Linked DNA regions of Schizosaccharomyces pombe. The protein of the gene in region 1 interacts with the protein of each later gene in a pairwise test. Each region holds a gene or a part of one and is shown on either strand. Other genes may lie near its edges. The genes, in order: prp45 and uaf2.

Region 1 (4,795 bases):
AGAAGTAGCAAAAAGAGTATTGAAGAACGTTGTTTTTCCAGTACCTGAGGCTCCGCAAAGCATGATTGTTAAACCACATTCTTTTCTTTTTATTAAATTTTCTCTGTGGTATATTTGTTAATGAATGATTTATGAATTTATGACTAGATTGTAACGATAACATACCTTTTGGATGGTAGACTATCCAAATTTAATAATAATTGAAGGTTTTCAGTCAAAGACATCGTAAAAATTTATTTCTCGAACTATCTGTATTTTGCTCTTTAGTAGGTTCAGGTTTGTTTCAAACAGCGTTTATCAGCGAAATATAAACAAACAACCGAATGTCCAGTGATAAAAAGCACAGATAAATAAATAAATATGCCTCATCAAAAATTTTTAAATATACAAATTAAATTATCTACATAGAAGACTTTTAATTCTTTTTCACATCTTGTACCAAAATACTTTCATAATCCTGGTTTACCAGAGTTGAAACAAGAATACAAATAAAAACGATGCTCAAATTTACTAGCTCTTTAATCATTAGAAGAATAAACATTAATTTTTAAGACTAAATATGAACTTCTGTTGAATTAACTGCCTTGATCCAAAAAAAACACAAAACGTAAATTGTACTTTTTTTTATTTTTAAGACAGTCATATTCCAATGAATAAAACCATACAATAATGTACATTTTCTTTGACAGTGTCAAGGATCGAATAGAATTAAGTTTTCTTTGAAGAAACATTATTCAAAAAAGTATCTACACCAAAAGGATCAGCAATATCTTTCTCGAAAGTGACGGGGCCAGCACGAGACTAAGAAAAGTTAGTATTTAAGTAAAAGTATAAGATATTGAAACATACCTCTACGACTTCATCCGATCCTTTGAACTTTTTATGCGCATTTCCTAGTACATCATAACGACTTTCACTAGTAATACGTTCCAATTCTGCAGATGCATCAACTTGACGGGACAAAGTAGCACCCGGTCTATATAACGTTGATGAAGGTGCCGCCCGCCACGGTTTATCATACACATTGTAACTGTCTTCGTCTTGAAATCCGGATCCTAAGCCAGAAGCCTGATTAAATAATCTACTATCGATCATTGTATCGCTTGACATTGATGGTTTTGAAAGTCCTAAAGCAACCCTTTCAGCGACATCACGAGGTCGATCTTTTTCAGCAAGCTTAGCACGTTTTTCAGCACCCATTCGACTGAGACGAAGATCCTTTTCAGCTTGGCGTCTTCGCTCGCGGCGAAGTTCTTGACGACGGCGAAAAGCTTCTGAATCCTCATCTTCATTTTCTGACTCTGAATGATGCGAGAACGATCCAGCTCTGGAACGACTTCTTTCTTCAGAGGAGACAGAAGTAGAGCGGGGTTTTGCATGTGAAGGACCCGAAGAAGCCGCATTTCTACCCATACGATCTTCCCTTGCTTTTTGAGCAAGCATAAATAAACGTTGCTCCTTTTCCTGCTTTTCCTTTTCAGCCATCTTTTGGCGCATTATGGCACGATATCGGACCTCTTCACGAGCTTGACGCTCCACCGTGTACAATGCTTCAGAAAATTTGGCAAATCCATCGTTGATTTCAACATCATTAAGACCACGACCATCAGCGGCCAGCCGCTTATCCAATGGAATAGTGTAGCCTTTCGGATTTTTCCAATTAGAAATACTCGGAGGTATTTGCCAATCTTGTTGTTCTTGAGCAGAAACTTTTCGTGGAGGAGAATGCAAGACGGGAGGAGGAGGAGAAGGTGGTCCACGAGGAACCTTTTTGTGACGGAATTTTGGTGGTTCCATGGGATCCTGTTCAGCTGTGACCATTTTGATAATCCTCTGTTTGCTAAGTGCTTGTCCCATTTGATTGCTAGGAGTATATCGAATGTATACAGGATCGTCACGTTGTTGTACCACAGCACTTTTAGGTTGAGACTGAGCGATTTGTTTGGAAAGTATTTTTTGTAAGGCAAGCTTAGTTTTATTCGCTACTTCTTGCTTTTGCTCGTCAGACGGTTTCTCTAACGAAATTTCTCCCACACCTAGTCGTGCACGTAAGGGGATCAAATCTCGAAAGCTTGCCTGTACCAACTCTCCATGTTCGTGACCTTGTCGAGCAATGGCATTATAGTCAACAGCGCCCGAAGAAGTGACCTGTAGAGCCAATGTATTACCAGCAGATTTAGCTGACCTTTTTCTGCCCATATCCAAAGGATATTGTGCTACATGGATTTCGGGAAAAGCTCCACCATCGCCAAAGTCTTCAGGTGAAGAAGGAAACCATCCCTTTCTTTGTCCATAGGGAGGAATGTGAAATTTGACACCAATTTGTCTTTCATCTGCATGTGATGTTTCCCTCTCCACATAATCTTCCTCTTCATCGTCGAAATCAGGATTTGGAAGTATACTGCGGCGTTGTTAGTGAATTTGAGAAAAAAATATAAGTTTACCTAGAAAGTTCTTCGGATAAAAGGGCCATTTTTGGAAAATAATAAACAACTTTCCACTCAGATGTGTGAAGTGGTGTTGAGTACGAGTTGTATGGATATAATGGACATATGAATTCTGTTCGAATGAATCCAAAAGCTCTCGCAGCTTTGAGAAATAATTTAATAAATAAATCCTCAAATTACTTGGAAATTTACTTGCAAGAATGTATGAAAGAAAATCAATGCACGCATTACAACAACTGGTAAATGAAGCTAGTATTACGCTAGGTCACCTAAGTTAGGATTCCGTACTTGTTAGCATTAGTGTGAGCAACACAGTAGAATTATTGCGAATAAGGCACACGAGGAAATGCGTAATTCTTAAGTGTATTAACGATGCTTTTGACAACATAAATCATTTTCAGTGGGATATCTCACAGTTTTCATAAATACTATTCCGACACACTCGATTACGTTAGATGTTAAGAATTATCAGATCAACTTAGCAATGCGGCTTGTAACTATCTATACCTTTGTGTTTTCTTTCACTTTTTGCGAAGTTTATAAAGTTGAAATTAGCTCCCAACGTGCTTTATAACTTTCAAAAAAGTAGTGCCACGTTTATAGGAGATACATTTAATAAAGAAAAAGATTTGCCAAGCGATGAATAGTGAAAGTTAGCATACTTATGGCTCAATGCCTATATATAGTTGTCATTAGCCAGCTACCTTACAAAGTAATGAGAAATGAGCTGTAAGGCATGTTTGAACTTTCAATACTTCAAAAATATTGATTTAGGCGATCAATACGAATTGTACTAAAGTTTCTATATGTACCTCACCTTTTTTTAAATTTAAGTGGAGTTGATGGATTTTTCTCTCTTTATGTGTGTCTTCATGAGACTATCAAATCGCGTACTTTTTAACTCAATGGATATCATTTGATAGCAAACATAATTCAAACAATTTGCCTCTATTTTTTTTATTTAATAACGAGTCAAACTTACCGAAAGAACCATATAGTCAATGTTACTGAATCAATGAGATTTTGCGGATACGTTGGGTGTGGTTAAAAATTAATCAAATCTTGTTTTCTCCTCTATTCCTTTTTACTTTTTCAACGGTCTACTATGCAAAGTGACCTTGTGTAAGAATGAGAGTCAAAGAGAAAGCAACAGTATTTCATTATTTACACTTCTGTAACGTTTCACGCGAAACGCTGGTAATTGACTTGAACACAACTAAACTGCTGTTAACTGGAACAATTTATTGAAGTGGTTGTTTTTTTTGCCCATATTTGGTTGGACTTTCTGCCTTCTGTTTTCGTCACTTTACATGATTCTAGAGAATCGGTAAAATTGCCAAAGTCTTTCCGATAAAGCGGAACGAACGCAAGATATCAAAAATCAATACTATAAAAATTTTTGTTGTTGATTGCTAATGTTATAATAAGGGTCTGTTGCTCATAACCAGGTTTGGTTTAGTAGGTAAAAAGTTGTCTGAGCTAAAACCTCAACTTTTGTATAGTACTGATGCCCACGACAATTTCGCTTATTATATTTACATTTCTTTCACTTGGGGACTCGTGGAACGATTTCCCGTCAAGTAATGTGCCTGTTTATAACATGGTTACCGGCATATACGCTAAGTTTATGAAAAACTCCCCAAACTGGCCACTTTCACGATGCTGGTTATTCATCCCACAGTTTGCTGTTTACCCAGAATACTTTATACTTTCAATAAGAAACACTCGTAGAAGAAACGTACTTTGACTGCTCTCACGGTTAAAGTTGTCATATAGAGAGCGGTTTCGTTTAATTTGATCGATAAGACCAGCCTGTGTTATTCGATTGAATCAGGTTTCGTCTCTACTTCTTTTTGACTTTCTGCGTTTGTTCTGTACAATATTTGGTTTCCAATTTTTGAGCGAAAACTATCTGATGCGAGAGGCGGACTACTTAATTTTTGAAGTTTTTTTATTTTTGTTTTTTTTTAATTCCGCCTAGTCCCTCTTTTCTAGTCACTCATTTCAAATCTTACAAAGCCCGCGTTTAATTTGTTAATAATCTAAGTCGTTCATGTTTTCTTTTCGTTTTTCCACTCTAGTCTTCCTTTTTTTAAGCATTTTTACGGTGGTTCTTAGTGAACCTCGTGTATCAATTGGACTTGCTAAGCGGACTATATCTCAAACCTCCTCCTCTTCCTTGTACACTTGTCCCGATTATATTACGATTTTTTCAGAAGGAACTTCTGAATACACCACAACCATTTATCCTTCCTCAAAGTCTTCTAGTTCAGTTGCGAACCATAGCACTATACGCACGACAATTGATAGCGGAACCATAGCTACAACCTATACTTTCACTTTACCAG
Region 2 (3,526 bases), on another chromosome or scaffold:
GGTGTGGCGATTGATGCCATTGGTGCTACCGCCCATCCTCACACAATGCTAGGAGTTACTAAACAAGGTCTCGCCGCTATTACCATGACCAGGGGCAACAAGGATACCTTCATCATTTTGCGTGGTGGTAAGAAGGGTCCTAACTATGATGCTGAGCACGTTGCCGCCGTTCGCAAAGATCTTGAGAAGGCCAACCTTCCTCCTCGTATCATGATCGATTGCTCTCATGGCAACTCAAGCAAGAATCATTTGAACCAACCAAAGGTCTCCAAGAGCATCGCCGAACAAATCAGAAATGGCGACTCTTCCATTGTTGGTGTTATGATTGAATCTCATATCAATGAAGGTCGTCAAGATGCTCCAATCCGTCCTGGCGTTAAGGATACTCTCAAGTACGGTGTCAGTATCACTGATGCTTGTGTTAGCTGGGAACAAACTGCTCCAATGCTAGACGATCTTGCTGAAGCTGTCCGTGCTCGCCGTCAAAACCAAAAAAGTAATTAAGACATATAAATGTTATATTCAGCAGTTTTAATTTTTTTAATTTTTGAAACTTATTTTTTCGTAACATACAACAACTGAACAATTTTGGCTTAAATACGGGTTCTATTTATTTTTTTTTGTTTTTTTTTTCTTATATCGTACACAGCTTCTACCAATAACACCTTCGTTTTTAAGAATTGCTGTGCAAGTTTTGCGAAATGTTTGATCGTTTCATATGTTTCTAATCGATCTCCTTTAGCTTGTAATCAGCCATAGGCACATTGGACACAAAATTTAAAACGTCTATGAGTACAGTTGTACAAAGATCAAGTTTATTAGTAAACAATAAAAGAATGCAACATCTATTTAAATAACCTAAATCACAACAAACTATAGCCAGAGATTAATCATAATAAACGAAGTAAAACCGTACAAAAGCAAACCAGAATCCAAAACAAATACATTCCATAAGTTGCTATTTAATTTTTGCGTTCAGCAGTTACACTGACCCATCGATTCGTGGAATCACTATTGGGCTCCTTTTTCATTTCTTCTGCTGCATTTAAGGCCAAATACTTTCTTTGTGCTAGTACCAAATCGCGTAAAAGCTGAGGACTTGGTTTTTTGGCATGCATAAAATTACAAAGGCCACCCCGCTGACATTCCGAAGTTTCGTGTTGCCGGCAACATGCCTCGCGAAAATCAGTTACAGGAGATAACTCGGCGTAGACTGGTCTTTGGGAATACCATCGGGAATTTAAATCATCAATAGCATTTTGGGCAGACTCTTCATACTTGAATCTTACATAAACATTTCCGACTAAGTGATCTCCAACATTGTCACAGACGACTAATTGTTCAACTTCACCGTATTTTGAAAACTCACAAAACATGTCCTCGTAGAATGCATCAAATTGTTCTGCAAGTTCACGCTGCGTGAACTTTTTGCCATTTGGTTCATGAATTGGGTTTTTATACATGTTGGGACATAAGATCGTTTGACTAAAATTTGGTTTGACATGTTTACGAGAGCAGCGTTCCCCATGTCTACAAGCTCCTATTTTATAATAGAATGAGCAATTGACTTTATCTTGCTCAGTACCATAAATACTTGCCAAATGACTTGCCATTTTTATATGGTGGTTATGAAATAAAGTGATCCAACATGATTCTAGTCTTATAATGGTGGCGTGCAACATCTCGTTAAGTTACGCAAATTTTCTAAATTATTCTTGCACACTATTGTCAGCAGTACTACACTACGCTATGATACACTACGTTGCGTATCACTATATGTCACATGTTCTAATTATATATCGTACCATGTATGATACGATATGGAGATTGATCTTAATGATAATCTATTAAGATCTATATTATCTGAATACTATAAATAGAGCTACTGCTGAACCTCGTTCCTCAGTTCAGTTATGAGCTATATTAGTGATAGGTAACATTATAACCCAGTTAATACAATACCTATACTCAGTTGCTACTTATATAACCTGTGTATTGTAATATAATAGATCACAAGGAAAACTCACCACAGTTCTACGTATCCTTAAATCAGATACCAAACTGCGTAGCTTACAACTATCCGATATACAGATATTCCCTTGTATTTCCCTAATTATATTCGAATTTGGAAAATATCAAGAATAAGTAGTTACTGTTATTAGACTGATGTGCCAACGATTCAAAAGAAAAAAAGATAAATTATTCTTAACACAGCACATTCCTTTTTTTTGCTCAGGAAATTTACTCGAGAACAAATTGTTTCCAAATGTCACGATGCCTGAGATGTACGCAAATGAACAACATCGGTAGTTTTACAATATTTAAAACAATCTATAGAGAATTTCTTTAAAAAGGACGGAAAATTTTTTCGAATGCAAAATTAATATGGAGTTGAGTATAATACGTAAGTTAGGGATTCAGTCATGCAGAGATAGTACTGTTCCAAACGCAATTAAGCTATTCCATTTTTCTGAAACGAATAAAACGCGGCTTAAGGTGTTAATGTAGCTTTCTTTTACGAGAGGGAAAGCATTCTCTAATTCAATTTTCACAAGTGAGGTTCGATTTCTTTCAAGATCGTTTCCGATTGCGTTAGGAGCTTTTTCTTGACTGTCTGTAAAGCAATACAGTTTGGTAAGGACTGCGTGACAGCCGAATAGGGCTATTACATGCATCGACTTTCCTTTTTCAAGAGAACCGTGAAACCAAGTTGCATTAACGTAAGCAGTTTTCGAAGAAGTAAAGGCATCGATACTATCAGCAATTAAAATCCCAGGACTATTTATTAGAAATACAAGAATTGCAAAGAACTTACCATAAATTGGGTAATGTAGGGATTTTGGCTTGAATCATATCCCCAGCAACATTAAACCCTTTGGGATTTTCATCACTGCTCAGTCCTTTTTTGATTAACATAAAATAATTGAACACCTTCCGTACCTGTGATTTGTGTTTCTAATCTCCCTGTGCCTACATAAAGCTTTTGCGAATCCTGAAGCATGCCTGAATGGATGCTACAGTAAATATGTGATTGATTTTCTGGCAAAGGAGTAATGTGTGAAATTGTTAAAGAGAGAGGTAGATTAAGAAGAAAATTCCATGTGCCATGATTTGTATCTGCTTCTTTATCAATTTTGCCAAGCAATGTATCAGATTTATACCACTGGGATAATTTTTCTTGACTAATGGATGTAAGATTGGTTCCTTTTAGTCCGCTTATCGGAATGAATTTTGATTTCTCAATTATTCCGCAACTTTCTTTCAGAAAGCTCTGAATCGAGTTAACAAGATTAATGAATTTATTTTCATCCCACTCAATTTCATCCATCTTAGTGATAGCAAACATATAGCTTGAAATAGATAAGCCATTCATCAATTGTAAAATGGAAGATATTCCATCAAGACCTTCCAAAGGATTCAGACAATCAATGGTGAAAATGGCTGTGTTCATTACTTGAAACAAACTTGAATGTTTTAGAAAATTATCTCGAGAACTTGCATTAGTAGTGAAGATTCCTAAAGGAAA

Evidence for each region.
Region 2: the proteins of prp45 (region 1) and uaf2 interact in a two-hybrid assay, tested with the Schizosaccharomyces pombe proteins (one study listed by BioGRID).

The regions. Positions count from the first base shown.
Region 1 is NC_003421.2:1,500,370-1,505,164, reverse strand, and holds prp45 (Prp19 complex subunit Prp45), read right to left. Parts: upstream 2,523-4,795; 5' UTR 2,474-2,522; coding exon 2,445-2,473; exon of another isoform or gene 2,402-2,444; coding exon 850-2,401; intron 802-849; coding exon 709-801; 3' UTR 501-708; downstream 1-500. Other genes in the region: septin Spn6, read right to left, coding at 1-103, 166-224; SPOM_SPCC188.14 (uncharacterized protein), read left to right, coding at 3,955-4,194. UniProt on the Schizosaccharomyces pombe protein: Involved in pre-mRNA splicing.
Region 2 is NC_003424.3:5,323,698-5,327,223, reverse strand, and holds uaf2 (U2 auxiliary factor small subunit Uaf2), read right to left. Parts: upstream 1,631-3,526; 5' UTR 1,614-1,630; coding exon 963-1,613; 3' UTR 789-962; downstream 1-788. Other genes in the region: SPOM_SPAP8A3.07C (phospho-2-dehydro-3-deoxyheptonate aldolase), read left to right, coding at 1-504; ski7 (ski complex-interacting GTPase), read right to left, coding at 2,418-2,778, 2,816-2,900, 2,941-3,526.